2 linked regions of the Anolis sagrei genome follow. The protein of the gene in region 1 purifies or fractionates together with the protein of each later gene. This does not show direct contact. Links are inferred from orthologs where the notes say so. Each region holds a gene or a part of one and is shown in the gene's direction. Other genes may lie near its edges. The genes, in order: RAB8A and GDI2.

The links.
Region 2: the proteins of RAB8A (region 1) and GDI2 purify together in Homo sapiens (co-immunoprecipitation; 5 studies listed by BioGRID and IntAct, with this or other methods). This does not show direct contact. The link is inferred for Anolis sagrei from reciprocal best matches to the Homo sapiens genes RAB8A and GDI2.

What each region holds. Positions count from the first base shown.
Region 1 is NC_090034.1:59,402,188-59,419,098, forward strand, and holds the start of RAB8A (ras-related protein Rab-8A), read left to right. Parts: upstream 1-8,878; 5' UTR 8,879-8,919; coding exon 8,920-9,043; intron 9,044-12,456; coding exon 12,457-12,517; intron 12,518-15,183; coding exon 15,184-15,244; intron 15,245-16,911. Other genes in the region: AP1M1 (AP-1 complex subunit mu-1), read right to left, coding at 1,191-1,321, 2,080-2,147, 3,550-3,706, 8,524-8,565. UniProt on the Homo sapiens protein: The small GTPases Rab are key regulators of intracellular membrane trafficking, from the formation of transport vesicles to their fusion with membranes.
Region 2 is NC_090025.1:193,948,169-193,964,344, forward strand, and holds the start of GDI2 (rab GDP dissociation inhibitor beta), read left to right. Parts: upstream 1-7,818; coding exon 7,819-8,175; intron 8,176-16,176. Other genes in the region: ANKRD16 (ankyrin repeat domain-containing protein 16), read left to right, coding at 1,611-1,771. UniProt on the Homo sapiens protein: GDP-dissociation inhibitor preventing the GDP to GTP exchange of most Rab proteins. By keeping these small GTPases in their inactive GDP-bound form regulates intracellular membrane trafficking.

The sequences.
Region 1 (16,911 bases):
GTTCAAATCCGGGGAGAGTGCAGATGAGCTCCCTCTGACAGCTCTAGCTCTCTGTGTGGGGACATGAGAGAAGCCTCCCAAAAGGATGATAAAACATCTGGGCGTCCCCTGGGCAACATCCTTGCAGACGGCCAATTCTCTCACACCAGAAGGGACTTGGAGTTTCTTAAGGCGCTCCTGACATGACAAAAAAATAAATAAATATCCCAACTGAAAACTAGAAACGAGGAGAGAAAGGGAACTCTTGAGGGGATGCCTGTTCAGTGGCACCTGCGTTTCGAGCCCTCCGCAAACACACACACATATTGGGGCTCAGTGTTCAAATATCTCTAGCACAGTGTTTCTCAACCTGGGGGTTGGGACCCCCGGGGGGGGGGGGGGTCACGAGGCAGTGTCAGAGGGGTCGCCAAAGACCGTCAGAAAACACAGTATTTTCTATTGGTCATGGGGGTTCTGTGTGGGAAGTTTGGCCCGATTCTATCATTGGTGTGATTCAGAATGCTGTTTGATTGTAGGCGAACTATAAATCCCAGTAACAACTACTCCCCAATGTCAAGGTATTTTTTCCCTAAACTCCACCAGTGTTCACATTTGGGCATATTGAGGATTCGTGCCAAGTTTGGTCCAGATCCATCATTGTTTGAGTCCACAGTGCCCTCTGGATGTAGGTGAACTACAACTCCCAAACTCAAGATCAATGCCCACCAGACTCTCCCAGTATTTTCTGTTGGTCATGGGAGTTCTGTGTGCCAAGTTTGGTTCAATTCCATCATTGGTGGAGTTCGGAATGCTCTTTGCACCATGGGGTTTATAGTCTCAGATCTGATGCACACATGCAATCAAACTGCCTTTCCCCCTTTTCTGTCTGTGTTTTCCCTCTCTGCTTTATCCTTCAATTCAGCATCTCTGTGTCTCTCTCTGTTCCAAAACATTGTGTTTCTCTTTGTTTCAAAACCATCCCTCACCCCACCTCCTTAACCTATTCTTAAACTGCATCTTCTTCATTATAACATTTACTTTACATTTCCAACCATTTTTTCCCAGGGAGAGCACCATAAGTTCCTCTGATCGACAGCGGCCTCACTCCCAACGACCCCCAACCCACCTGCACCAAAGGCCCTCGTATTTCCCTCTCTGTGGCTCCCATTGGGTTCCTCCCTCCCATTTGCCTGCCTCACCGCAACACTTACTCTTGTAAAATCTTGCTGTCGGTGGTCTGGGGATAGCCGAAATCCATGAGCTCATCGAGGAGTTCGTAAATGATCACAAAATTGTCCCGAATGCTTTCTTCTTCCAGCTCTTTGAAATATTCAGAAAACACCTGGGAGGGGGAGAGAAAGTTAGAAAAGAGGAGCACACATGACAGAAAGAAATGGGGTTGGACTGGATGGCCCCTGGGGTTGCTCCTATTATTATTATTATTACTACTACTACTACTACTATTACTACTACAAATGCTTGTGTGGCCATCTGTTGGGGTGCTTTGATTGTATTTTTCCTTTATGGCTGAAGCAGATTGACCTGGATGGTCAATAAAATCATTTTAACAATAAAATAATTTTAAAACATTATACAACATCATCAGTAAATTTAACAATAAATTAACGTGCCAGTAAAACCAAAAACCAAGCCGGGAGAATCCATGTCGCAAACCCCAAAATTCCTTTTCCTATTGCCACTGGACTCTAATCAAATGCCTACTACTACTACTACTACTCCAATGGCTGGGTGGCCATCTGTTGGGGGTGCTTTGATTTGTGCTGTTCCTTCATGAAGGCAGAATAAAGGGGGTGAGACTGGATGGCCCATGGGGTCTTCCACTAAAATACTGTTATGTTTATGTTGGTCAAAAAGTTTGCCTGTGCCTGGTATAGATACTGCATATTATATATAATATATAATATACTATATAAGCATTTCTTGAGGCTCCACAAGAAATATTTTGCTTCAAAACGGGCTCTGTGGCTGAAAAGGGTTTTAGAACCCCTGCCATAGAGGAAGGTGGCAGAGTCCCAAAAGGAAGCTTCCCCCAAAGCTTACCTGTCCAGGTCAGGTCACCTAATAGCCTGCCGCACTCACCTGAACCACTTTGTACAGAAAGGAGAACACCAATGAGACGCAGGCATTCTTTTTCGAGGTGGCCACCACTGGAGAAAAGGTTCAGGAGCCTGTCCAACACTTGGGATATATTCAAGTTTACCTAGAATTTACACTTTACATTCATGGTATTAAAAACAAACAATTAAAATCCTTAAAGCTGATTGGACAAGGACTTGGAACTTCCCTGGTTTGAATAGTTAAAATTTGAAAATGTTTTATGGATTTAACTTGTTTATAATACTAGTGATGTTTAATTCTGTTTTCATATTTGTATATTTTAAATTGTATTGTAATGCCTTTAATGTTTACTTATGCCCCACCTTTTCTCTCTACAAAGAGATTCAAAGCAGCACAAAGATAGATACTATCATCATCATTTATTTTCACCCCTCTTTTCTCTCCACAAGGAGACTCAAAGCTGATCAAAGATAGATATTATTATTATTATTGCTGCTATTATTATTATTATTATTATTATTATTATTATGTTTGTTTATACCTCACTTTCCTCTCCACAGGGAGACTCAAAGCTGATCTATTAATATTATTATTATTATTGTTTGTTTATACCTCACTTTTCTCTCCACAAGGAGACTCAAAGCGGCTTTTTTTCATGTCAGGAGTGACTTGAGAAACTGCAAGTTGCTTCTGGTGTGAGAGTTGGCTGTCTGCAAGGACGTTGCCCAGGGAATGCCAGGATGTTTGATATTTTACCTTCCTTGTGGGAGGCTTCTCTTATGTCCCCACATGGGGAGCTGGAGTTGACAGAGGGAACTCAACCCGCTCTCCCCAGATTCGAACCACTGACCTATTGGTCAGCAATCCTGCATCAGTGGGGGCTCCTCTCAAAGCAGCTCAAAGATAGATATTATTATCATCATTATGCTTTTTTACACCCCACTTTTTTCCACAAGGAGACTCAAAGCAGATCAGATAGATATTATTATTCAGTTAAAATCCATAAAACATATTCAAAACTAGACGCCACGGCACTTGATCTCAAAAAACCTTCTTCTTTAAAAGCCAGCCCGAATAAAAAAGGTCTTAGCCGTAAGCCACACAATCAAAATATCTCAAGACGGAGGCACACAATGCTAAAAAGCCACATCAGAAGTGTTGTTTTAATTTTCAAATAAAATTATTTTAATTTAAAACTTAACAAGCAAAAGGTCTGGCTCATTTTTGGCCTCATTATTAGGGAAGCCTGCACAGACACATCTTGCTGCAAAATTCCACAAAACAGGAGCCCCTTCCAAGCAAGACCCAATTCCTAGCCCCCTTCTACACTGCCATATAATCCACATTATCAAAGCTGATCATTCACATTATCTCCGTCTAGCTGGATTATACAGACAAACTGAAATTTGGCCCAGAGACCAAAGACCAAACCCTCCAAGGAAAGGTCGAAGGAGCTGGTGATGGCGGGCACACGCCTTTGGCAAAGGATACAATACAGGTTGTTGTGCTTGATCCACATGAAGCGGACGCCTCCATGTGCCAAGATGGGCGAGAGCGTCCCTTCCTCCTCCTTCTCCATCAGGATGGGCATGAAATGCTCAACTTCTGACATGTCCACATCCCCGCGGTAATTCCTACAGATGAGAACCTGGAAAGCAAGGTGACATATTGAATAGGTATTCAATAGCATAATCAGGGTAAGGCTCACCTGGAGGTTCCTCTTGGCACCAAAAAGGAGATTATTAGCATTATTAACTAATATATAAATATTCTGCCTTACTCTCCTCTGTTGGGACTGAAGGCGGCCCACAATCTAATATCAATAAAAAACAAAGCTACTACAACCTTTTAAAAAATTAAATATTTATTTATTTATTTCCCAGCCTTTCTCACCCGAGGGAACTCAAGGCAGCTTACAGCTCCGGCAAGAATTCAGTGCCAGTAAAACCCCACAATAAACAATAGAAACTTACCCCACAGTCAAAACAATTAACAGTTAATCAATAAAACAGTATACAAATTAAAAACATATAAGGTGGATAGTTCCATTCATCCGATAACCTTGCTCAAATCCTTAAATCAGACCGTGTCGAAACCTGTAATAACTTATTCTTCGAAAGCTTGTGTGCAAAGCCAAGAATTTAGCTTTTTCTGAAAGTCAGAAGGAATGGAGGCTGCCTGATGTTGCTGGGAAGGGAGCTCCACAGCTGAGGAACCACCACTGAGAAGGCCCTGTCTCTCGTCTCTACCAATTACAACAGCAAAACAACAGAGAGGAAACAACTAGGGACAGCTAATCACCTCTCAACAAAAGTTTGCTCTAGGCACTGCCAGGCCTTCAAATGTTAATCAAGGTGGTCAGTTGAAACATTCCCACCTAGCTCCAGCAGACAAGAGTCCTTTGTCCCACCCTGGTCTTTCCACAGATATATAAACCCCTTCTTCCTAGTTCCAACAGACCTCACTACCTCTGAGGATGCTTGCCATAGATGCAGGCGAAACGTCAGGAGAGAATGCCTCTAGACCATGGCCATATAGCCCAAAAAAACCTACAGCAATCCAGTGATTCAGGCCATGAAAGCCTTCGACAATACATATTTATTATTATTATTATTATTATTATTATTATATTTAATATAAACCAATAGATCAGGGGTCCTCAAACTGTTGGAGGGCCGGATTATAATTTGAAAGAAAGCATGAATGAATTACTATGCACACTGCACATATCTTATTTGTAGTGCACACATCCCATTTTAACGTTGTGAGATTATAACAGCAAAACATTAAAACAAAGCATTACAACAGCAAAACAACAGAGGGGAAACAAACAGGCACATAAAATCACTCTCAACAAAAGATTCCCCCCAGGCACTTCCAAGCCATTGAATGCTAATCAAGGTGATCAGCTGAAACATTCACACCTAGCCCCAGCAGACAAAAGTCCTTTCTCTCACCCTGGTCATTCCACAGATATATAAACCCATTTTTCCTACTTCCAATAAACCTCACTACCTCTGAGGATGCTTGCCATAGATCAGTGTTTCTCAACCTGGGGGTCGGGACCCCTAAGGGGGTCATGAAGGGGTGTCAAAGGGGTCGCCAAAGACCATCAGAAAACATAGTATTTTCTGTTGGTCATTGGCATTCTGTGTGGGAAGTTTGACCCAATTCTATGGTTGGTTGAGTACAGAATTTATTTTATTTATTTATTTATTTAGTACACTTGTATACCGCTAATATCTCAGCCTGTGCGGCGACTCATTGCGGTTTACAACATATTTAAAAATACAATATTCACTTTAAAAATATAAAATAAAATATAAAAATACATACATATACATACATAGTATTGGGCCACCAATACAGACCGGAACATCTCATAATTAAAGTCGTAATCCAATTCGTTATCCTTGATTGCTAGTCCATGATCAAAACATCATCACATCGGAATTAGTTGAAAACTTGCTCGAACATCCAAGTTTTCAGTTTTTTCCGAAATGCCATTAGCGAGGTGGCTGATCTTATTTCAGTAGGGAGGGCATTCCAAAGCCGGGGGGCCACCACAGAAAAGGCCCTATCTCTCGTTCCCGCAAGCCGCACTTGTGAAGCAGGCGGGATGGAGAGAAGGGCTTCTCCTGAAGATCTTAGGGTCCTGGTGGGCTGATAGGCCGAGATACGTTCGGATAGGTATGTAGGGCCAGAACCGTTTAGGGCTTTAAAGGTCAAAGCCAGCACTTTGAATTGGGCTCGGTAGCTAATCGGTAGCCAGTGGAGCTCTTTGATTGTAGGTGAACTGTAAATCCCAACAACTACAACTCCCAAATGTGAAGGTCAATTTCCCCAGACTCCACCGGTGTTCACATTTGGGCATATTGAGTATTCATGCCAAGTTTGGTCCAGATCCATCATTGCATGAATCCACAGCACTCTTCTGGATGTAGGTGAACTGCAACTCCCAAACTCAAGGTCAATGCCCACCAAACCCTTCCAGGGTTTTCTGTTGGTCATGGGAGTTCTGTGTGCCAGGTTCAGTTTAAACCCATCGCTGGTGGAGTTCAGAATGCTCTTTGATTACAGGTGAACTATAAATCCCAGCAACTACAACTCCCAAATTACAAAATCAATCCTCCCCAACCCCACTAGCATTCACATTTGGGCATATTGGGTATTTGTGCTCAATTTACTCCAGTTAATGAAAATCCATCCTCATATCGGATATTTACATTATGATTTATGACAGTAGTAAAATGACAAGTATCAAGTAGCAACGAAAACAATATTATGGTTTGCGGTCACCACAACATAAGGAACTGCATTAAGGGGTCACGGCATTAGCAAGGTTGAGAACCACTGCCACAGATGCAGGTGAAACGTCAGGAGAAAAATTGCCTCCAGAACATGGTCATATAGCCCCCAAACGCCTACAACAACGCAGTTGTGAGATGTGTTCCACACTGGGAATGCAGTTGAGACCCCGTGGCCACTTGCTGGGCCCATCCTCGACCGGTTCATCCCACTGGATGCAGGGGCTGTCGATAGGCTCATAGCTGCAGCTAGACCGACCACTTGCTCCCTCGATCCGTGTCCCTCTTGGTTGGTGAAATCCTGCTTGGAGGGATCACGTGACCCTCTGTTGAAGATTATAAACAGCTCCCTTGAGCAAGGAGTCTTTCCAGAGGGTTTAAAAGAGGCGGTGGTCTCTCCTTTGCTGAAGAAACCAGATTTAGATCCCTCGGTTCCCTCCAGTTACCGCCCAGTTTCAAATCTCTTGTTCCTGGGCAAGGTGATTGAGAGGGCAGCAGCGGAGCAGTTGCAGCAATTCCTTGACGACACAGCCGGACTAGAACCCTTCCAGTCGGCTTCCGTGCGGGGCATGGGACAGAGACTGTGCTGGTCTCCATCATGGATCACCTTCGATGCCAGCTTGACCAGGGCGGGTCAGCACTGCTTGTGTTATTGGATCTCACAGCAGCATTTGACACAGTCGACCACAATCTCTTGACCCACCGCCTTGATGTTGCTGGAGTCAGGGGGGCAGCTTTAAACTGGCTGTCCTCCTTTCTTCACAACCGTGGACAGCGAGTGGAGAGGGGAGGCCTGGTCTCTGAGAGGTCCCCTCTATCTTGTGGGGTTCCTCAGGGGGCCATTCTCTCCCCTCTGTTGTTTAACATCTATATGCGACCACTTGCTCAGCTGGTTCGAGGTTTTGGGCTTGAGTGTTATCAGTATGCCGATGACACTCAGCTGGTGCTGAAGATGGAAGGCCGACCGGACTCTGTACCCGATTGTTTCCATCAGTGCCTCGAGGCTGTTACTGGATGGCTGCGTGCCAGCAGGTTGAGGGTGAATCCAGCAAAGACGGAGATCCTATGGCTGGGTGGACCGGGCAGTGGGGACATCCATCTGCCCACCTTGGATGGCGAGGCGTTACGCCCGTCATCATTGGTAAAGAGTCTGGGAGTCCTTTTGGACCCTCTGCTGACAATGGAGGCCCAGGTCTCCGCCGTGAGCAGAACCGCCTTCTTTCACCTGCGGCAGGCTAGACGGCTGGCCCCCTACCTGTCCAGGGACGACCTAGCTACGGTGATCCAGGCCACGGTCATCTCAAGACTGGACTACTGTAACACCCTCTACATTGGCCTCCCTCTGTTGGTGATTCAGAAGCTCAAGTTGGTACAAAATGCAGCTGCTCGGCTTCTTGCGGGAATTCTGATGAGATGCCACATAACTCCAATCTTACTGCAGCTGCATTGGTTACCAATTGAGCACCGGATCACTTTCAAAGTGATGGTACTCACCTCTAAGGCCTTGCATAGTCTGGGGCCAATGTACCTGAGGGACCGCCTCACCCCCTACCAACCCCAGAGATCCCTCCGTTCTGAGGACCAAGATCTATTGGAAGCCCCCAGTGTCAAGACCTTGCGTCTAACAGCAACCAGATGCAGAGCCTTTACAGCAGTTACCCCATCACTCTGGAATACTCTGCCACCTGAAGTTCGTGCCCTGCGGGACTTACCAGCTTTCCGCAGAGCATGTAAGACATACCTGTTTCAACAGGCTTTTAATGTTTGATACTGTTGTTTTTAAATTGTTTTAAATTGCTTTTAAACTTTGTTAGATTTTAGCTATTCTTGTAAGCCGCTCCGAGCCCCAGGGGATTGGCGGCATATAAGTTTAAATAATAAATAAAATAAAATAAATAATCAGCAGCTGTGTAGCAAAGCGCAAGGGCAGATGCCTTCACTGTATCTGGTTGTGATTCCCAGGTTGTGCCAGTCAGCTTTCGTAGAGCGAATTAAGGCAACGGAAGGGGGAAAGGCCCCAACTAAAACCCGTTTCTCCTCATCTGCCATAACAGTACAGCCAGCCTAGAAGGACAGGTTACAAGGCAGGTCCAAAGCCAAGTACACCTAATAACAATCACAAAAGAAGAAGAAGAATGGTGAAGAGAGGAAACCTCACCTTTCCCTTCAGGTCCAGCACGTAGACGGCGCTGGCGGACATCTTGGATCCGCGGCAGGCGCCGGAGCTCCTTTTCCGCTTCCGGCCAGACAAGCAACGGGCGGACCACACCGTGACGTCAGCCAGCGCACGCACCAATCGCAAGTTTCCCCACTCTAGAGCGGACAAGCCTCATTCCTTATTGACGTCATCCAGCGCACGGACCAATTGCAAGTTTCTCTAGCCAATGGGCGGGACGTTAGCGCCGACGCAGCCAATCACAAGTTTCCCCACTCTTCCTGCTCGAGGAGGAGTGCGCCGGCGAACGGCCAAGCCAATGGGAGTCCGGCGCGTTCTGACGGACAGCGACGTGGGCCTATCGCGAGCCGCGGCGGCTCCTCGCAGGCCTAGGAAGACATGGCGAAGACTTACGACTACCTCTTCAAGCTGCTGCTGATCGGCGACTCCGGCGTGGGCAAGACGTGCGCGCTCTTCCGCTTCAGCGAGGACGCCTTCAACGCCACGTTCATTTCCACCATCGGTGCGTCGTTGCCAGGCAACCGGTGGGATTGAGGGAGGGGAGGGAGGGGTTGTTATGGCGACGCCCCGGACCCACCTCCCGGTCGCCATGGCAACGAACGCCCACCTTCTAGCTGGAGAGCAGTAGGGCTCCTCTTCCGGTTGAGGGGAGAATGGGCTCCAAGTAGGCCTCATGCTGGACCATCTCCCAGGGCATCCACTCTGCGCTTGGTTAGGGCAAGCTGGATGCAACAGGCTTCTTACTGGTTTAGTGTATTCTGAAAGTGATGCATTGGAAGCATTCTGTCTTTGATGTAGGTTTTTTTGTCAGTTGCTTGAGGGTTTCCCTGGATAACTGAGAATATATATATATATATATATATATATATATGCAGGGAGGGGGGAAGTATTTAGTCAGGTACCAATTGTACAAGTTCTCCCACTTAAAAAGATGAGAGAGGCCTGTATTTTTTTTCGTCCTGTCAGGAGCAACCTGAGAAACTGCAAGTCGCTTCTGGTGTGAGAGAATTGGCCGGCTGCAAAGGCGTTGCTCAGGGGATGCCTGGATGATTTTTTGATGTTTTATTTATTTACTTTATTTGTATACCACACTCTCTCAGCCCGTAGGCGACTCAGTGCGGTTTACAACCAGGTCAATATACAAAGTGCACAACACTAGCATTTAAAAACAGTAACTAAGGCAACTACATCAAGGCCGAACAGGGTATAGGGTTACAGCCTGTGTTAGACGGGGTTACACTCCCCCTGAAGACGCAGGTTCGCAGCTTGGGTGTGATCCTGGACTCTTCGCTAAGCTTGGAACCCCAAGTTTCGGCGGTGTCCAGGGGAGCATTTGCACAACTCAAACTTGTGCGCCAGTTGCGCCCGTACCTTGGGAAGTCTGACTTGGCCACGGTAGTCCACGCTCTGGTTACATCCCGGATTGATTACTGCAACGCGCTCTACGTGGGGTTGCCCTTGAAGACTGCCTGGAAGCTTCAGATGGTCCAGCGCTCGGCGGCCAGGTTGCTAACGGGAGCGGCACTCAGGGAGCATACCACTCCTCTGCTGAACCAGCTCCACTGGCTGCCAATCCGCTACCGGGCACAATTCAAGGTGCTGGCTTTAGCCTATAAAGCCCTAAACGGTTCTGGCCCTGCTTACCTCTCCGAACGCATCTCCACCTATGAACCGACCAGAACATTAAGATCGTCTGGGGAGGCCCTGCTCTCGATCCCGCCTGCGTCACAGGTGCGCTTGGCGGGGACGAGAGACAGGGCCTTCTCAGTGGTGGCCCCTACCGGCAGACATCAGACAGGCACCTTCGCTGCTGACGTTTCGGAGAATGGTTAAGACCTGGCTTTATGAACAAGCGTTTGGTTAAGCAGTGCAACCAATCATAGGAAGACGGTAAATGGAACATAGGAATGGCACAAGGATTATGAGAACGGATCTGATTTCAACTGAGGCGTTATGTTATGTCTGTTTTGTTGATCTGTCTTGTTGATTGTTAACTGTTGTGGATTGATGCTGTTGATCCTGTTTGTTCCATTGTTATGTTTTAATTGCACTGACACTGTTTGATAATTGTACCATGTAAACCGCATTGAGTCGCCTGTTAAGGGCTGAAAAATGCGGTATAGAAATAAAGCAAATAAATAAATAAATAATATAACAGCACATCAATACATCAATATAACATCAATACATCCATAATAACTAACTCATCACGTCTCATCAGTAAAGTCATAATCCGATTTCCTCGTCCATTATTCCAAGTTCCAAGATCAATCAGTTAATTGCACTGCTTAATTAAACGCCTGTTCAAAGAGCCAGGTCTTCACTCTTCTTCTGAACGTCAGCAGGGAGGGGGCCGACCTAATGTCTGCGGGAAGGGCGTTCCACAGCCGAGGGGCCACCACTGAGAAGGCCCTGTCTCTCGTCCCCGCCAGCCGTGCCTGTGAGGCTGGCGGGATCGAGAGCAGGGCCTCCCCGGACGATCTTAATGTCCTAACTGGTTCATAGGGGGTGATGCGTTCGGACAGATAGGTCGGGCCAGAACCGTTTAGGGCTTTAAAGGCTAAAGCCAGCACTTTGAATTGTGCCCGGAATTGTGTGGAGTTGACGCAACAGAGGAGTGGTGTGCTCCCTGAGTGCCACTCCTGTTAACAACCTGGCTGTTTTATCATCCTTGTGGGAGGCTTCTCTCATGTCCCCGCATGAATAGCTGGAGCTAACAGAGGGAGCTCATCCGTGCTCTCCCCGGATTCGAACCTGCGACCTGTTGGCCTTCAGTCCTGCCGGCACAGGGGTATAACCCACTGCACCACCGGGGGCCTGTAATTGACATCATAGGTAGACCTATGAGATACAACATGAGAAAACACATCCAGAAAATCACATTGTCTGATTTTTAATGAATTTATTTGCAAATTATGGTGGAAAATAAGTATTTGGTCACCTACAAACAATGGAGCCCCCGATGGCGCAGTGGGTTATTATTATTATTATTATTATTATTATTATTATTATTATGCAGAGACCGGATGGTCTTTAGCGGTCTTTTTCAACTATTACTATTACTATTATTATTATTATTATTGTTTAGATGCTGGATGACACGTGGGTCTCTTCCATTATTGTTGTTGTTATTATTATTATTATTATTATTATTATTATTATTATTATTATTATGTAGAGGCTGGATGGCCTTTGGGGGTCTCTTCCAACTATTACTATTATTATTATTCAGATGCTGGAAGACACGGGGGTCTCTTCCATTATTATTATTATTGTTATTATAGGAGCCCCCGGTGGCGCAGTGGGTTAAACCCCTGTGCCGGCAGGACTGAAGACCGACAGGTCGCAAGTTCGAATCCGGGGAGAGGCAGATGAGCTCCCTCTATCAGCTCCAGCTCCTCATGCGGGGACATGAGAGAAGCCTCCCACAAGGATGAAAAAAAATCAAATCATCCAGGCGTCCCCTGGGCAATGTCCTTGCAGATGGCCAATTCTCTCACACCAGAAGCGACTTGCAGTTTCTCAGGTTGCTCCTGACACGACAAAAACAAAACCTACAAACATCAAGATTTCTGGGTCTCATAGACAGGCTCCTCTGCCCTCCTGTAGTAATGGCACCTATTTGAACTTGTTATCAGTCTAAAAGACACCTGTCCACAACCTGAAGCAGTCACACTCCAGACTCCACTCTGGTGAAGGCCAAAGAGCTGTCGAAGGACACCAGAAACAAAATTGTCGCCCTGCACCAGACTGGGAAGACTGAAACTGCAATAGGCAAGCGGCTTGATGTGAAGACATCAACCGTAGGAAATGGAAGAGATACAAGACTGCTGATAATCTCCCTCAATCTGGGGCTCCACACAAGATCTCACCCTGTGAGATCCCCCAGATGGTAACCCCGCTTCTCTTTTGCAGGCATTGACTTCAAGATCAGGACAATTGACCTCGATGGGAAAAAGATCAAACTCCAGATCTGGTACACATCCGATTTCATAGGATTCTAAGGTTGGGTGGGGACCCCCAAAGGCCACCCAGTCCAACCTTTTCTTTCCACCCGGCAGGGAAAGCACAACCCAACCCCTCCTGGCAGCTGGCCACCCAGCCTCTGATTCAAAGCCTATAGCGAAGGAGACTCACACAGGCTCCCAGGCAGAACAGGCGACTGTCCAACTTCCTGCAGCCTAGGATCACATTGGCCTTTTTTGCTGCTTCGGCACACTCTTGGCTCATGTTCATTTTTTACTATTGTCAAGCATTTCCTTTATTACTTTCCTCTGTCTGGATACTTGACTCCTATTTGTCTATCTATCTGTCTGTCTGTCTATCTCCCCAACCATCCAGCGATACATGTCCCTCTATAAACCTTATCACACTAGAGGTTGTGCGATACCGGCTAAACAATGTAATTTCTCCAGTGGTGTAGGGCGCAGGCACCCCGTGATAATGCGGCATGTCTCATTAAGAGCCACATCCACTGTTTTAGTGTGGTGAGATGTGTTCCACACTGGGCATGCGTACTCAGCAGCAGAGTAGCATAGTGCAAGAGCAGATGTCTTCACTGTGTTTGGTTGTGATCCCCAGGTTGTGCCAGTCAGCTTTCGTATGATATTGTTTCTAGCACCTACTTTTTGCTTGATATTCAGGCAGTGCTTCTTGTAGGTCAGAGCATGGTCCAGAGTGACTCCCAGGTATCTGGGTGTGCTGCAATGCTCCAGTGGGATTCCTTCCCAGGTGATCCTCAGAGCTCGGGATGCTTGTCTGTTTTTAAGGTGAAAAGCACATGTCTGTGTTTTAGATGGATTAGGGATCAGCTGGTTTTCCCTGTAGTATGCGGTAAGGGCATCTAGAGCTTCAGAGAGCTTCTGTTCTACCATCTCAAAGCTCCCTGCTTGAGCGATGATAGCACAATCATCTGCATAGATGAAACTCTCTGTCCCTTCTGGCAGTGGCTGGTCATTTGTGTAGATGTTGAACATGGATGGAGCAAGCACACTTCCCTGAGGCAGGCCGTTCTTCTGTTTCTGGCGCCATCTTCTTCTCTGGCCCTGAAACTCAACAAAAAAGGTCTTGTTTTGTCGCAGGTTTCCTATGAGGTGGGTGAGGTGGTAATTCTTTGTGATATTATACATTTTTCTCAGGAGGAGGCGGTGGTTTATAGTATCATAGGCCGCTGACAGGTCTATGAAGACAGCTCCTGTGATCTGCTGCCTTTCAAAGCCATCTTCTATGTGCTGAGTCAGGTTCAGCACTTGCGATGTGCAGCTTTTGCCTTTCCTGAAGCCAGCTTGCTGTGGGATCAGACATTAGTCTGATTCGTCAAGTGATTTTTGAGTTATGTTAATCTCACAAATAACATTACATTTTCATTTATATAGATGCATATCTTCACCTGAGTCTTTCTCTATCTATCTATCTATCTCCCCATCATTCATCCATCCACCAATATATTTCTCTCTTTCTATCTCTCAAATTCTTCGCCTGTATCTATCTCCCCATCCATTCATTCATCAATGCATTTATCACTATCTGTCTCTTCACCTGTGTCTTTATCTGTCTATCTATCTATCTCCCCATCCATCCATTTGTTTCTCTACACCTGTGTTTCTATCTATCCATCTCCTCAATCCAATACATTTCTCTCTTTCTATCTCCAATTCTTCGCCTGTGTCTTTATCTATCTACCTCCCCATCCATCCACCAATACATTTCTCTTCTCCCTCTCTCTGTCTCTTCACCTGTATCTCTATCTATCTATCTATCTCCCCACCCATCTATCCCTCAATGCACCAACACATTGGCATTACGGGGCTGTACAAGACCAATCAGAATAGGGAAGCATGGGTGTTCTATTTATGTAATCCTAAATACATAATAATTATTTTATTTATTTATCTAAAACACTTATATTCTGCCCTTTTCACCCCAAAGGGGACTCAGGGTGGTGCACAACATATATATGGCAAACATTCAATGCTGGGACAAGAATTCATATGAATATGCATAAACATTTATCAAAATATTAAAATGCACTGTTTAAAACTGTCTTGGTCATCTGCGTCAAATCTAAATTGGCCTGGGGAAGTTTCCTATCGCTGCCTTATGGCCCTGTCCCGAAAGCTTGGTCCCACAGCCAAGTTTTTACCCTCTTTTTGAAAGGCAGGAGGGAGGGGGCCAATCTGATCTCACCAGAAAGGGAATTCCATAGGCGGGGGGCAATCACCGAGAAAGCCCTGTCTCTCGTCCCCACCAATTGCGCCTGTGACAATGGCGGGATGGAGAGCAGGGCCTCCCCGGAGAATCTTAATCTCCACGATGGTTCATAGGGGGAGATGGATTTGGACTTTATAGGCCAAAGCCAGCACTTTGAATTGTGCCCGGTAGCAAACTGGCAGCCAGTGGAGCTGGCGTAACATGGGAGTTGTGTGCTCCCTGTGTGCCGCCCCAGTTATTAACCTGGCTGCCTCTCGTTGGACTATTTGAAGCTTCTGAGCAGTCTTCAAATGCAACCCCACGTAGAGTGCATTGCAGTAGTCTTATCCTGGATGCGTGTTGGGCATGGCATTGGGTTCCGTTGCATGGCGTACAATGGCAATAACACCACCACTCTCTTCTCTTCTCTTCCATGCTGTTCTGCCCTTGCAGGGACACGGCTGGGCAGGAGCGCTTCCGGACCATCACCACGGCGTATTACCGAGGAGCCATGGTGGGTGCAGTGCTTCCTATGGGATCCCCTTCTGCTCCGCGTTGACTTGTTTTTCTCCCCATATTTCCCACGTCCCCCACATTCCCCTCCTGCAATGGCAACTTTCTAAAAGTCAGCTTCAGAATATTGTAACAGAAGCAATCTACAAAATAGTTGGAGGTGCAATAAGGAAACTGGGACTTATATATACATTTATGGGTGGGAATGTGAAAAAAGATACATAATAAAAATCCATCATTGTTTGGGTTCATAGTGCACTCTGAATGTAGGTGAACTACAACTCCTATACATTTATTTACTTATTTATCTTCTCTCTCTCTCTCTCTCTCTCTCTCTCTCTATATATATATATATAAATACTCTGTGCATAATGAGTACCTTAAAAACAAAAGAACCAATGAACGAAATCACACCAAATTTGGCAACAAAATGTCTCACAACACAAGGAGTGACTATCACTCAAAAAATTATGCTTTTGTCATTTGGGAGTTGTAGTTGCTGGGATTTATAGTTCACCTACAATCAAAGAGCATTCTGAACTCCATCAATGATGGAATTGAACCAAACTTGGCACACAGAACTCCCATGACCAACAGGAAATACTGGAAGTGTTTGGTGGACATTGACCTTGAGTTTGGGAGTTGTAGTTCACCTACATCCAGAGAACACTGTGGATTCGAACAATGATGGATCTGGACCAAACTCTACAAGAATACTCAATGTGCCCAAATGTGAACACTGGTGGAGTTTGGGGAAAATAGAATTTTGATATTTGGGAGTTGGAGTTGCTGAGATTTATAGTTCACCTACAGTCAAAGAGCATTCCGGACCCCACCAACGATAGAATTGGGCCAAACCTCCCACACAGAACCCTCATGTGGGCCACAGCAATGCGTGGCAGGGGACAGCTAGTTTACTATATTTCTATACCGCCATTCTCAGCCCGAGGGCGACTCAAGGCAGTTTACAAAACGGCACAATTGGATGCCCACAATAACATAAAAACAGTTAAAACATTTAACATAAATAAAATTCAGTAAATAGTAAAACCGATAAAGACATAGATCCTCCGCATCTCATTACCAAAATCATTACCCAATCGCATTGTCCAGTCGTTCCGAGCTCAGGGTTTGTCTGCTACACTGCATTTGAGAAAGCCTGCTCAAAAAGCCGGGTTTTAACATTTTTGTGAAATGTTAAGAGGGTGGGGGCCAATCCAATGTTCCTAGGGAGGGCGTTCCACAGCTGAGGGGCCACCACTGAGAAGGCCCTGTCTCTCGTTCCCGCCAACTGAATCTATGAAGAAGATAAATCCCTCCAAAGACCTCCAGTATTTTTTGTTGGTCATGGGGCTTCTGTGTGCCAAGTGAGTTCCAGGTCCATCGTTGGTGGAGTTCAGAGTGCAGTTCTTAGATTGCAGGTGAACTATTTATCCCTGGATGTACAACTCCTATAAATCATGGTGAATTCTCCCCAAGCCTCTCTAGTATGTTCAGTTGCTGATCAATCCCTCTTCTGTGTGCCATAGAAAATAATAGGAAAGGGTTAAGGGACAGAGAGTGGGCGGGGTCATGCAAATTCCACACCAGTAGAGAATCAGAAACACTGGGATGTCTGTGGTGGAAGAAACACATAAAATCTAGGATGGAATTGTTCCCGTATGAAAG
Region 2 (16,176 bases), on another chromosome or scaffold:
CCTTGAGTATTTTCTGTTGGTCATGGGGGGTCTGTGTGGGAAGTTTGCCCCAATTCTGTCCTTGGTGGGGTTCAGAATGCTCTTTGATTGTAAGTGAACTATAACTCCCAGTAACTACAACTCCCAAATGTTAAGGTCTATTTCCCCCAAACTCCATTTATATTCATATTTGGGCATATGGAGTATCTGTGCCAAGTTTGGTCCAGATCCATCGTTGTTTGAGTCCGCAGTGCTCTCTGGATGTAGGTGAACTACAACTCCCAAACTCAAGCTCAATGCCCATCAAACCCTTCTAGTGTTTTCCGTTGGTCATGGGAGTCCTGTGTGCCAAGTTTGGATCAATTCTATTGTTGGTCAAGTTCAGAATGTTCTTTGATTGTTGGTGAGCTATAAATCCCAACAACTACAACTCCCAAATGACAAAATCAATTTTTTGAGTGATGGTCACTCCTTGGGTTAGTAAGTGTCTTGTGGCCAAATGTGATGGCAATTTGTCCAGTGGTTTTTGAGTTATGTTAATCCCAGAAACAAACATTATATTTTTATTTATATAGATAGATATGCACACACACACTCCACTTGCCTCACTTCAAACCTCTGCTCAAACCTCTGATGATGCTTGCCATAGATGCAGGCAAAACATCAGGAAATAATTCTACTGGAATATGACCATACAGCCCGAAAAACTCACAGCAACCTAACAGCAACAACAGTAATATCAAAACAAATAAGTAGAGCTGATATCAACCCCTTTCTTCAAGTCTACTTCAGCTTTAGGACCCTTTCATAGTTATAGAAAGAAGATGCCTCTTTAAATGTCCTGGTTCTATCCTCCTCGGATTTGTAGTTTACCCAGGAATTATAGAATTATAGAATCAGAGTTGGAAGAGACCTCCTGGGCCATCCAGTCCAACCCCATTCTGCCAAGAAGCAGGAATATTGCATTCAAATCACCCCTGACAGATGGCCATCCAGCCTCTGTTTAAAAGCTTCCAAAGAAGGAGCCTCCACCACACTCTGGGGCAGAGAGTTCCACTGCTGAACGGCTCTCACAGTCAGGAAGTTCTTCCTCATGTTCAGATGGAATCTCCTTTCTTGTAGTTTGAGGCCATTGTTCCGTGTCCTAGTCTCCAAGAAAGCAGAAAACAAGCTTGCTCCCTCCTCCTCCCTGTGGCTTCCTCTCACATATTTATACATGGCTATCATGTCTCCTCTCAGCCTTCTCTTCTTCAGGCTAAATATGCCCAGCTCCTTAAGCCGCTCCTCATAGGGCTTGTTCTCCAGACCCTTGATCATTTGAGTCGCCCTCCTCTGGACACATTCCAGCTTGTCAATATCTCTCTTGAATTGTGGTGCCCAGAATTGGACACAATATTCCAGGTGTGGTCTAACCAAGGAGGAATAGAGGGGTAGCATGACTTCCCTAGATCTAGACACTAGGCTCCTATTGATGCAGAGCCCTCACAGTTCTCAGTGAGCTCTAGCAACTCATTCAACTACACATCTGAGGATTCCATAGGATTAAGCTGGGCTCATAATGCTGTCATTGTGCAGCGTGAAAAGGCCCCTTAGTGTGTTGTTGTTGTTCTTCTGCCTGCTTCCTCCCACAGCCTTGCATATGGCGTGCGCTGGGCAGCATACCTCGTGTGCGCACGTTCTCCTCGAGGCGGGACTGCAAGATTCGCCAGACTTCTCTGGAACACACGCCTGGCAGGTGGCCAGGAAGCCGAGCCTCCTCCAGCTTTTCGAGAAGACAAGCGTGAGCGCATGAAAACCTGCATTGATGGCAAAGAGAACAGGGACCTTTCTTTCCAGCATCTCCCATTTTTGCTGCCAATTTATGGGGAATGTTTATACTTGCCTAGGGGTCTGCTTCCCTGCAAGTCCTATCCAGTCCCTGCCTTGAGGATTGAAAAACCATTCTGGAGCAAACATTCAGTCCTGTTGGAAGACTTTTTTGAGTTGGTGATGGTGTCCACCTTGGGTCTTGTGCCAAAAAAGAGAGGTGGGAAAATAAAGACATTTGCTTGTTTGATAAAGCAGAGTTGGATAACTAGGTTCTTGTGGGTTTCCTCGGGCTATAGAGCCATGTTCTAGAGGTATTTCTCCTGACGTTTCGCCTGCATCTATGGCAAGCTTCCTCAGAGGTTGTGAGGTCTGTTGGAAGTAGGAAAAATGGGTTTATATATCTGTGGAATGGCTGGGGTGGGGCAAGGAGCTCTTCCCTGCTGCAGTTAGGTGTGAATGTTTGGCTGATCACCTTCATTAGCATTTGAAGGCCTGCCTGAGCCTGGGAAAATCTGTTGCTGGGAGGTGTTAATCTGTGCCTGGTTTTTTTTAAAAAAAAAACACTAAAATTATAACAGCTAAACAACAGAGAGGAAAAAACCAGGCACAGATTAACACCTCCCAGCAACAGAGTTTCCCAGGCTCAGGCAGGCCTTCAAATGCTAATGAAGGTGATCAGCCAAACATTCACACCTAACTGCAGCAGGGAAGAGCTCCTTGCCCCACCCCAACCATTCCACAGATATATAAACCCATTTTTCCTACTTCCAACAGACCTCACAACCTCTGAGGAAGCTTGCCATAGATGCAGGCGAAACGTCAGGAGAAATGCCTCTAGAACATGGCTCTATAGCCCGAGGAGAGTTGGATAAGTTTAGTGAGTTCAGAAGCCAACATTCTGGAGACACCCCCCCCCCCCCCCCCGGGGTTGCTCAGAATGCCAAAACTGCCAGGAAGAATATATAGTAAAGGGAAAGGTTTCCTCTCGAACATTGTCCTGCGTGCAAAAGAATGAGGAAGTACTCCATTGGTGTCACAAGTGGATGGTGAAGCAACAGCTCCCCCAGTGGCCAGAATTCAAAAAGCATGCCCTCATCAAGCTGGAATGTTAAATAGCCTCTGTGTCTCTGTCTCTATATGTTGTGTGTCTATGGCATTGAATGTTTGCCATGTTTATGTGCATTGTGATCCGCCCTGAGTCCCCTGCGGGGTGAGAAGGGCGGAATATAAATACTGTAAATAAATAAATAAATAAATAATAACAAACCATTATCTGGTGGGAGAGTCAAGAAGAATGTTTTCCTTTCAGTTTTGGGTTCTGGAAAAGATTTATAATGATTCATGCCTCAGTCGAGTCAACGTTGTTATTTTTTATCACGGTCTTGCTTTCAAGTGCTCTGTGTTTCATGTATCAAGTTTTTGCCAAACTCAAGTTGCCTATGGGATTTTCCTCCTGTTTTGTTCCATGGTTTCAAGTGTCTTGCTTTGCGGATTTCTATATACTAATGGGACTTGTTTCCCTTTGAAGCATATGGACTATCTTGGATTTTGGCCTCCAACTGTTTTGCTATTTTTTACTGCTTTGCATACATATATTCTACCAAGGTGTGATGTTTAAGGTCAGAGGTGTTCCTCCTCTGGTGTACAACATACCCAAAGAGCCCCAAAAAGAAAAGACATTTCAAATGGCTTGAACTATATTGATTTTACCATATGGTTACTTCCTTCATCTGAAATGTAGCTTGCAGCACCTGGTATTCACTGTGGTCTCCCATCCAAATACCAACCAGGTTTGACCCTGCTTAGATTCCAAGATCACTTAGGATCTGGTGCCTTTTGGTATTTAGACCATTTACCTTAGGTAAAGTTAAAGGTAGTCCCCTGTCATTAAGTCCAGACATGTCCGACTCGGGGGGGGGGGGGTGCTCATCTCCATTTCTAAGCTGAAGAGCCGGAGTTATCCATAGACACCTCCAAGGTCATGTGGCCAGCATGATTGCATGGAGTCCCATAACTTTCCCACCGGAACGGTACCTATTGATCTACTCTGTTGAACTACAACATACACACATTTGCATGTTTTCAAACTACTAGGTTGGCAGAAGCTGGGGCTAATAGCGGGAGCTCACCCGCTCCCCGGATTCGAACCACTGACCTTTCAGTCAGCAAGTTCAGCAGCTCAGCGGTTTTACCTGCTGCACCACCAGGGCTCCAGCATATAGTAGGCATGGGTAAACTTTAATTCCCACAATTCCTAACACTGTTGAATGAATATTTTAATTAAATCTTTCCAAAGTTAAACTACGAAGCCGAACAATGCTTGCGATTTTATTCTCCTCTCTTCCTCCTAAATCTTGGCAGAACACAATCCAGTTAATTCATCCAGCCGCTTTGAGTCGCTAAAGACTGATTCGGCAGGCCCAGGCAAGCATCCGTATGAAAAATGCGATGCAACTACGAAGTGTGTTTGTGTTTGCAAGGGATCACCCTTTCCGCAGACTCAGCAGCCAAAGTACTTAGGAAGGCTTTACGTCCGCTCCATGGTTTGCATCTGTCACAGAGGGACCCGTCCTCCAGGCCTGTCTCGCCCGCACTTTCCCTCTCAGTCAACCGGAATGGAGAAAGCTTTCTGCTTCCTTAAGCCTTCCATTAGGCAGCAGAAAATGTGATTTGCTTGTAATAATGATTTCTCCTGCTCCGGTTGTGAATCGCAAACAGCATCCCTGCTTCATTTCACACCGTGAGTGAAAGGTTTACTTTCAGGGCGCAGCTCATTGAAAGGCGGGAGATCCGTGTCCAGCAGGATCTCTTCTGAGATGGAGGCGGCTTATTTGGTTTTCTTTGACATTGTAGGGTACTTATTTACTTACTCGTACTCAAAGGATGATGGTCCTCCAAGGTTGGTGTTCTGGCGGTGGGTCCGTAGGTGGTGGTCTTCCATGATGGGTTTCCTTGTGGATTCGTAGGTGACTGTGGAGCCCTATTCTTGACCTGCATCTTCTCTCGCAGTGAGGACATCGGTTTCAGGTGGAAGGCAGTCCCAGTCGGGGTTGGCTTGACGCACCTTCCTCCTGGCACGTTTCTCTCTTTCACCCTCCATTCAGGCCTCTTCAAATTCTGCAGCATTGCTGGTCACAGCTGACCTCCAGCTGGAGCGCTCAAGGGCCAGGGCTTCCCACTTCTCAGTGTTTATGCCACAGTTTTTAAGGTTGGCTTTGAGCCTGTCTTTCCATCTCTTTTCCTGCCCTCCAACATTCCGTTTTCCATTCTTGAGTTCGGAATAGAGCAACTGTTTTGGGAGATGGTGTTTGGGCATCCGGACAATGTGATTGGTCCAGCAGAGTTGATGGCAGAGGACCATCGCTTCAATGCTGTTGGTCTTTGCTTCTTCCGGCATGTTGACATTTATCCACCTGTCTTCCCAAGAGATTTGCAGGATTTTCCGGAGGCAACACTGATGGAATCGTTCCAGGAGTTGCATGTGACGTATGTAGACAGTCCACGTCTCAGAAGCTTATAGCAGGGTTGGGAGGAAAATAGCTTTATAAACAAGCACCTTGGTATCCCTACGGATGTCCCGGTCCTCAAACACTCTTTGCTCCATTCGGAAAAATGCTGCACTCGCAGAGCTCAGGCGGTGTTGCATTTCAGTGTCAATGTTGATGTCTGTAGACTGTCCACGTCTCGCAGGTGTATAGCAGGGTTGGGAGGACAATGGCTTTATAAACAAGCACCTTCGTATCCTTATAGATGTCCCAGTCCTCAAACACTCTCTGCTTCATTGGGACAAATGCTGCACTCGCAGAGCTCAGGTGGTGTTGAATTTCAATGTCAATGTTGGCTTTTGTGGAGAGGTGGCTGCCAAGGGAACGGAAATGGTCAACATTTAATAATAATAATAATAATAATAAAACTTTATTTATACCCCGCTACTATCTCCCCAAAGGACTCAATGCGGCTTACATGAGGCCAAGCGCACAGTACATCAGTAAACAAAGGCAATAACAAAAACAATCAATACAAAACAATTAATATAAATCACATAAACAAAAAATATACAATAACAGTAACACACAAGCATTTAAAAATGGTGTAACATTTTCTAATGTTACACCATTAAGCTGTATCTCTGGCATTGGAGAGGGATTGGCTGGTGACTGCTGGAAGAGGACTTTGGTTTTCTTGATGTTTAATGACACGCCAAGCTGCTCGTATGCTTCTGCAAAGGTGTTTAGAGCAGCTTGTAGGTCTTCTGAATGCACACAGACGACGTTGTCATCAGCATACTGGAATTCTATAATAGATGTTGTTGTAGGGTAGGTTTAGAGGAAAGCCTTGGGATCGGATGGGAGTTGCGGTCGTCCTGGTATTGGAGCTGTTTCCACCGACTACATTGGAATTGAAGATGCCAGTTCTTGACTTCATTATATGACGGGGAATCATCACAATAAATCCTTTTCACCTCATTGAACGTCTCCCTTGGTGTGCGGCCTTTCAAGGAAAGGAACTTGAGGACTGCTCTGTGTTCCACTGGGTCCATTCTCAAACCTCACACCACTTCAGCACCTGTCTCATCAAAACCATTAAATTGGCACGTAACCTATAAAGACTTTGATCATTACACATGTGCATTTTCAGCAATCTGTGATAAACAGAAGTGGGTTAGAGAGAAATCTTTAATGAACGCCCCTTGTAAAATTGCAAATATATATATATATATCCAAGATTATAAGAGATTTCAAGATATTTAAAATCCAAGAGTTAGGTTAAAATTGCAAAATAAATCCAGAATTACAAGATATTATAAGATATTTTTAAAATTCCAGAATAATGTTTTAAAATTGCAAAAATAATCATTGCAGAATTACAACTATGTTAAGGTTAAATGCATTTTAAAAATAAATAATATATAAGAAAAATTTCTAGAATTATGTTTTAAAATTGCAAAAATAATCATGGCAGAATTACAACTATGTTAAGGTTAAATGCATTTAAAAAATAAATAATATATAAGAAAAAAATCCAGAATTAATGTTAAAAATTGCAAAAATAATCATGGCAGAATTGCAAATATTTTATTGTTAAATGCATTTAAAAATAAATAAAATAATGGGAAAAAATCCAGAATTTTGTTTTAAAATTGCAAAAATAATAATTGCAGAATTACAAATATATTAAGATTAAATGCATTTAAAAATAAAAATAATATAGGAAAAAATTCCAGAATTATGTTTTAAAATTGCAAAAATAATCATTGCAGAATTACAACTATGTTAAGGTTAAATGCATTTAAAAAATAAATAATATATAAGAAAAAATTCCAGAATTAATGTTAAAAATTGCAAAAATAATCATGGCAGAATTGCAAATATTTTATTGTTAAATGCACTTAAAAAAATAAATAAAATAATGGGAAAAAATCCAGAATTTTGTTTTAAAATTGCAAAAATAATAATTGCAGAATTACAAATATATTAAGATTAAATGCATTTAGAAAATAAATACAATATAAGAAAAAATTCCAGAATTATGTTTAAAATTGCAAAAATAATCATTGCAGAATTACAAATATGTTAAGGTTAAATGCATTTAAAAAATAAATAAAATATAAGAAAAAATTCCAGAATTATGTTTAAAATTGCAAAAATAACAATTGCAGAATTACAATTTTTTTAAGGTCAAATGCATTTAAAAATAAATAAAATATAAGAAGTTCAGGATGTATGTATTTATTTGGAGCTCAGAACCTCATTATGCACCAAAAACTTTGCAAGGCAACCTTTCCCCAGGTCCCTTCTCGCTTATGCGCCTGCGCCAAAACTCCCAGGCTCTGACGTCAGCAGGAGCCAACCAGCGTGGCAGCGGCGCCGAGGGGCGTGGCCTTCCCCCTTTCGCCCCGCCCCTTAGCGACAGCGTCTCTTAGAAGGGAGGGGAGGAAACAAAAAGTTGATTGACGTCGCCAGGGAGACCAATGACGGCGCCGGAGCGGCTCAGACACCACCTCGAGCTCCTCCCATTTTTTTCGGCCCAATGGAGAGGCCTGGGGCGGCAGGAGGGTCCCGGCAAGCCCCGCCCACCCAACGAAGCCCCGCCCCCCAGCTGGAGAGGGTGAAGGCGCCAGGAAGCTCCGCCCCAATCCTGGGAGTCCACGCCTACGCCACGCCCCCTGGACAAAACCCCGCCCCCCTGGCGCGGTCTCCTCACAGCGGCGTTGGCAGAAGCGCCTCCATTTTGCGCTCCTCCTCATCCTCCTCCCGCGAAGGAAGCGAAGCCCTCGCCGGCCCTCCTCCACCTCCTCCTCCTCCTCGGCGCCGCCGCCAGCAGGTCCTCTTCGCCGCCGCCATGAACGAGGAGTACGACGTGATCGTGCTAGGCACCGGCCTCACGGTGAGCCAGCGAGCGGGCGGGAAAGGGGAGCTAATCGAGGCAGGCTCCGCAGAGAGGACTAGGCCGCGCCCCCCCCTACTCCACCTCTCTTGTCCCTTCAGGGCCTCCGTAGACATTTCTCTTTCCCTGCAGGGAATACTCTTACTACTATTAGCAATAATATAGGGATACACTGCCAATATACAGATTATATGCCAAATTATATGATAGTATATATAATATAATATTGATATAATTTAATACAATATAGTACTACTAATAATATATTGTAATTATATATTTTATATTAAATGTAATATTACTAATATTAATATTGTGCTATGGTAATGATATACTACTAACAGTAATTTAGGGATACACTGCCAGTATACAAATTATATGGCAAATTATAAATATAAATATAAATTATAAATATATGTCATCTTGTCTTTCCTAATAATATAATATAGTTTGTTGTATATACATATAATATTTATAATATTATAATGTAATACAATACAATACTAACAATAATATAGTTATACGCTGTTTGGTTGTTCACTTAAGTAACCGGATCAAATTTTGCCATAGTCACTGTTGAATGTTTTTATATTGAATATTTTATATTGTGTATAAACTGTTTTAAATTGTAAGTCGCTCGGAGCACCTTGGTGGAGAGCGACTATTTATTTATTTATTTATTTACTTTATTTGTATACCGCTCTTCTCAGCCCTTAGGCGACTCAGAGCGGTTTACAAGTTTAGATATACAGAATACAAAATCATTGTGCATTTAAAAACAATTACTATTTATTTATTTATTATTTATTTACTGCGCTTATATACCGCAATTCTCAGCCCTTCAGGGCGACTCATTGCGGTGTACAACATGAAGAAAACAAGTGCAAGAAAACAAGACATAGTGCAAAACAGTGTACAATTCATCCTAATCATAAAAACATCTTATCAAACAACAACATCAATACAAAATCACTACTACATTCCGAGTCGTCTCATCGTCAAGTCACAATCCGATCTCTTTTCCAGTGTTCCATTCCTATGGTCAATTGCCAGTCATTGCACTTATTGGTCAAATGCCTTCTTAAATAGCCAGGTCGTTAACTTCCTGCGGAATATCAGCAAGGAGGGGGCTAGCCTGATGTCCACGGGAAGGGTGTTCCACAGCCGAGGAGCCACCACCGAGAAGGCCCTATCTCTCGTCCCCACCAGCCATGCCTGTGAGGCAGGCGGGATCGAGAGCAGGGCCTCCCCGGAAGATCTCAAAGTCCTCGTGGGCTCATAGGCCGAGAGGCGGTCAGTAAGGTATTTTGGGCCGGAACCGTTTAGGGCTTTATAGGCCAGTGCCAGCACCTTGAATTGAGCCCGGTAGCAGATTGGCAGCCAGTGGAGCTGGTACAGTAGAGGGGTTGTATGCTCCCTACGTCCCGCTCCTGTTAGCATCATGGCTGCCACACGTTGGACTAGTATTATATTGCATTACAGTACAATATTATAAATATTATATGTATATATTATATTATAACATATTATTAGAATAGCACAGGAGACAAGGTGGAACTGTCCCCTGGCCCCTCTTTCTTTGCTCTGGCCCAGAGCGGCAGTTGGTGCTGTGGGGAGGGGTCCCCAACGGATGGCAAATGCAGGAGACAAGATGGTGCTGTCCCCTGGCCTCCCCTCTCTATAAAGTGATGATGATGATGATGATGAATACTAGTAATAATAATTCAATATTATAATTATAATTATATATTTACATTACATGTAATATTACTAATAATATTACAATATAATGGTATAGTGCAATATAGTAATATATACTGATATTGTACTATGTTAATAATATAATATATTGTATGAAAATATATATTGTAAGCCGCTCTGAGTCCCCTTCGGTGTGAGAAGGGCGGAATATAAATGCCATAAATAAATAAATAATAAATATAGTGCTATGTAATATATAATATTAATAGTGTGCTATGGTTATGATATACTACTAACAATAATATAGGGATACACTGCCCGTATACAAATTATATGCCAAATTATATAGTATATATAATATACATATAATATTGATAATATTATAATGTAATACAATGTAGTACTACTACTAATAACATGATCTTATAATTATATATTTTATATTAAAGGTAATATTATTGATAATATTACAGTATAATGTTATTTTAATATGTAATATATAATATTAATATTGTGCTTCTAGCTGTCCCCTGCCACACGTTGCTGTGGCCCACATGAGGGTTCTGTGTGGAAGGTTTGCCCAAATTCTATCGTTGGTGGGGTTCGGAATGTTCTGTGATAGTAGGTGAACTATAAATCCCAGCAACTACAACTCCCAAATGTCAAGATTCTATATTCCCCAAACTCCACCAGTATTCACATTTGGGCATATTGAGTATTCGTGTAGAGTTTGGTTGAGATCCATCTTTGTTTGAGTCCACAGTGATCTCTGGATGTAGATGAACTACAACTCCAAAACCAAAGGACACTGCCCACCAAACCCTTCCAGTATTTTCTGTTGGTCGTGGGAGAATTGTGTGCCAAGTTTGGTTCAATTCCATCCTTGGTGGGGTTCAGAATGCTCTTTGATTGTAGGTGAACTATAAATCCCAGCAACTACAACTCCCAAATGACAAAATCCATTTTTTGATTGAAGGATATACATTGGGTTGTTAGGTGTCTTGTGTCCAAATTTGATGTCAATTCGTCCAGTGGTTTTTGAGTTCTGTTAATCCCACAAACGAACATTACATTTTTTTTATATAGATCTCCTTCTCTCACGTCCCTCTCAATATGCATATATACACACATAGAATCATAGAATTCTATGTGTTGTAATATATCAAAATAAGTTATGAAAATCTTGAAATTTATTTTTTCCCTTTAGTTTCTACTCCTTTATCTCATATCTCCTTCTGTGAAGTCCCTTTCAATATATATGTGTATATATATATACATACAGACACACACAAATCAATATATATATATATATATATATATATACACATATCAAATGATACATTTAAAAATAAGGTACGAAAATCTTGAAATTTATTTTTTCATTTATGTTCTATTCTAGCTCACATCCCTCTCAAATATATATATATATACACACACACACAATATATATACAAATAAGGTCCTGAAATAATTTTTTTCCTTTAGTTTCTGCCCCTTTATCTCGTATCTACTGTTACATATATTCACACATATATACATTAATATAAGCACATATAAAGTAATATATATAAAATAAGGTGTGGAAATCTTGCCCCAGGCACTAACAAAAAAAATTTCCTTTAGTTTTGTGCTTCTTTATCTCTTACTTATCTCCTGCCACATTCCTCTCAAATATATATAAATGTTAATATATACACATATAATATCATATATATATATATATGGATATATATATATATATATATATATATATATATATATATGGATATGTATGTGTCACCTTTTCTCATTTATTTGAGTTCTCTCCATTCTTGCATATCTCCTGCTATCATGTCTCCTATCTATATTTTTAAAAATCATTTTAGTTCCTTATCCTTTCTTACATATCTCCTTGGTATGTTCCTCTCATTTAATCAATCTTATTTTTTATTTTTTTATCACACCCCACCCTCTATATGTAACATTTCTCATTTATCTTTGTTCTCTATTATCATTAAAAGTGGAATTTTCCTCATTCATTCTAGGTTTTTTCCCCTTCACACATATCTCCCTTTGTCATCTTGATTTCAGGATTTCATTTTAATTTTTTTCATTGGTTTTACTTCCCCTCTCCTTTCTCACGTGCCTCCTTCTGTCATGTCCCTCTCAAATATATGTATAGTGTCCCTTCCCCACTCTTACATGTCTTCTGTCATATCTCTCTCCAAAAATATTTTTGAAGTCTCATTTATTTTTATTCCCTGCACTGTTTTCATATACTTCTTTTTTCATGCCCGTTTCAAAAAATAGAAATGTTTGACATTTTTCTGTTTACTCCCCTGCTCCATTCCCATGCATCTCCTGTTCCTCTCAAAACTATTTTCTCCTATATTTTAGTGCCTTCCCCATTGTCACACCCCCTTTTTTGAATTTTCTCTCATTTATTTCAGTTCCATATTCTTCTCATGCATCTCCTTCTTTAATATCCCTATCAAAAAAATAAAAAAAATTATGAATTTTCTCTCATTTTAGTATTTTTGCCCTCTTCTGTCACATCCCTTGGGGAAAGAAACCCTTAAAATTTCTCTCAGATCTCATTCATTTTAGTTTCTGTCACATGGTTTAAAATATTTTGGGGTTTATTTCTTCTTTTTTCAGTTTTCTGCTCTTTTTCTTTCTGTCACATGGTTTTAAATATTTTGGTTTTTTTTCTTCTTTTTTCAGTTTTCTGCTCTTTTTTCTTTCAAGTCACAATTCTTGAGATTTCTCTTGATTAGTCCCAACAGGGACAAACTTGGGAAAACAGTTTTTGAATGACAGTCAACTTACAGGTAAATCCAATTGAAATCATGGGTTTGGTCTGGTTGGGGCTAACAATAGGTTTTACACCAACCATTCTCTTTTTCTTTCTTTTTGTGGCTTAACAGATGGGACTTCCCTGCAAGGGATTCTCCTTAAAGAGCATCTGCTGTGGCTTCACATTGTAATGGATTGCTTCTCCCACTCCCCATTTTGAAGTTTTGTACCTGCTCCTTGGGTATTTGTTTGTTGTACTGATCAAGTGTTACTTGACATACTAGATCAGTGTTTCTCAACCTAGGGGTCAGGACCCCTGGAGGGGTCACGAGGGGGTATCAGAGGGGTCACCAAAGACTATCAGAAAACACAGTATTTTCAGTTGGTTATGGGGGCTCTGTGTGGGAAGTTTGACCCAATTCTATCATTGGTGGAGTTCAGTATGCTATTTGATTGTAGGTGAACTATAAATCACAGCATCTGCAACTCCCAAATGTCAAAGTCTATTTCCCCCAAACCCGACCAGTGTTAACATTTGGGCATATTGAGTATTTGTACCAAATTTGGTCCAGATCCATTATTGTTTGAGTCCACAGTGCTCTCTGGATGTAGGTGAACTACAACTCCAGAATGCTTATTATATGTATTTACTGTATTATTATAAGTGTCTTATTTTAACTTACTACGTGGAGTGTGATCAGGTCTTGTCACGCCTTGTTGTTCTGTTTCTTATTGTGATATGGCCTAAGGGCTAATCAATAAAATTACTACTAACTCCAAAATGCAAAGTCAGTGCCCACCAAACTCTTACAGTATGTTTTGTTTTGGTCATGGGAGTTCTGCGTGCCAGGTTTGGTTCACTTCCATTTTTGGTGGAGTTCAGAATTCTCTATGATTGTAGGTTAACTATAAATCCCAGCAACTACAACTCCCCAATAACAAAATCAATCCCCGCCCCCCGGCAACCCCATCAGTATTCAAATTTGGGCGTATTGAGTATTTGTGCTAAATTTGGCCCAGTAAATGAAAATCCATCCTGCATATCAGATATTTACATTACGATTCATAACAAGAGCAAAATTACAGTTGTGAAGTAGCAGTGAAAATAATGGTTGGGGGTCATCACTTGAGGAGCTGTATTAAGGGGTCACGGCATTAGGAAGATTGTGAACTACTGTACCAGATCATCACATGACACTGTAAAGCACTGCTATCCCACTTTAAATCCTATGGCAACCTCCTGCAGAATCCTGGAGTTTGTAGTTTTTAACCTAGGACTTCTCTGGCTGATAATTTTAAAGGCACCTCCCCAAACTGCAAATTCCAGCATTCCACGGGAGGCAGCCATCGGATTTAAAGTGTGATTACAGTCAGCGTCTCTCCGCCTCTACAGAATATTTTGCTGTTCTTGCTCTGTCTTCTACTCCCCCATTCAATCCCAATTACTCTTTCTGTTTTGATGACCACCCACCTTTCTGGGCTCTTATGTTTTGTGCTGTTTGTCCTTGGCATAACCTGCTCATCAAACATCAGTGGGCAGCTTTTACTGAAAGGCCGTCATAGAATATTTATTTATTTATTTAGAACTTTTATATACCGGTCTTCTTGACCTCCGAAGAGGGACTCAGGCCGTTTCACAACAAAAGATTCATAACAATAGTTTAAAACATCACATCACATAATACACTAATACATAATACATAAAATACATTAAAATACAATACTATAATTACATAAGGCCTTAGGTTTTAATTGCGTCATGGTGTCATTGTTTTTAGTGTTTTATTTTTGCTTGATGTTTATCGTTTGCTTTATGAGTTTTATTGCTGTGTTGTTACGTTGTTGTTTTGTTGGCGGCCTTGACCTTTGTAAGCCGTATCGAGTCCTTCGGGAGATGTTAGCGGGGTGTAAATAAAATTAATAATAATAATAATAATAATAATAAGGCCAAGTCGTCAGAGTGAAATCACAATTCATCACCATCCGTCCGTGTGTTCAAGGGTTATTGACTCCCTCATCAAATGTTAAATTCCAGAGCCAAGTTTTCACCAGCTTTCTAAAAGACAGGAGAGAAGGGGCAGTTCTAATCTCCAGTGGGAGAGAGTTCCAGAGCTGAGGGGCCACCACAGAGAAGGCCCTGTCCCTCGTTCCCACCAGACACGATTGCAAGGGTGGTGGGACTGAGAGCAGGGCCCTTCCTGAAGATCTTAACAACCTTGATGGTTCATAGGGGAGAATCCGTTCGGACAGGTAAACTGGGCCAGAGTCGTTTAGGGATTTATATGTCAGCACCAGCACTTTAAATTGTGCTCGGAAGCTAATTGGCAAAGGTCCATGAAATCAAGCACCCTTTCCTCCATAACAGTCAGTCTAATGATCATGAGCACCCCACAAGCAGGATGTGAAGGCAGTAGTAGAACCCTCCTGATCTATAGTAGTCCTCTTCCTGGTGTGAAGACTCTCCTTTAGCATCATGATGTACCTCAAACCAAATTGGTGGCTCTCTCTCCTTGCAGGACTGAACTCCATGGGTTTATATAGTATTATGTGTATGTTTTCTGATGATTATTTTGCATGTTTTGTGTTGGCAATTGCGATGCTTTACCTTTGCTGAAAACGCCACGAGACCCCTCAGGAAGATAGAGCAGGATACAAATGAAATTTATTATTATTATTATTATTATTACTACTACTACTACTACTATTATCTGGAGCCCTGGTGGCGCAGTAGGTTAAACCCCTGTGTCGGCAGGACTGAAGACCGACAGATCGCAGGTTCAAATCTGGGGAGAGGCAGATGAGCTCGCTCTGACAGCTCCAGCTCTTCATGCGGGGACATGAGAGAAGCCTCCCACAAAGATGATAAAAACATCAAAAATCATCTGGGCGTCCCCTGGGCAACGTCCTTGCAGATGGCCAATTCTCTCACACCAGAAGTGACTTGCAGTTTCTCAAGTCGCTCCTGACACGACAAAAAGTATTATTATTATTATTATTCCATAAGCTTTTATTTATTCTAGCTTTTTGTTCCCATTGCAATACACATTTAACATGTTTTGCCAGTTTTTTTTTTATTTCTTGATCTGATTCTTTATTATTATTATTATTATTAATATTAATATTATTAGGTTGCTGTAAATTTTTTCGTGCTATATGGCCATATGGATATTTTATTGTATTGTCGAAGGCTTTCATGGTCGGAATCACTGGGTTGTTGTAGGTTTTTTAGGGCTATATGGCCATATGGATATTTTATTGTATTGTCGAAGGCTTTCATGGTCGGAATCACTGGGTTGTTGTAGGTTTTTTAGGGCTATATGGCCATGGTCTAGAGGCATTCTCTCCTGATGTTTTGCCTGCATCTGTGGCAAGCATCCTCAGAGGTAGTGAGGGAGGTCTGTTGGAAACTAGGAAAATGAGGTCTTTATTATTAATAATAACATTATTATTAATGTTATTCTTTATCTAGGAGATAATCTTTTGTCTGTCCTTAATCTCCTGTCATTCAGGAAGATCCTACTCCAC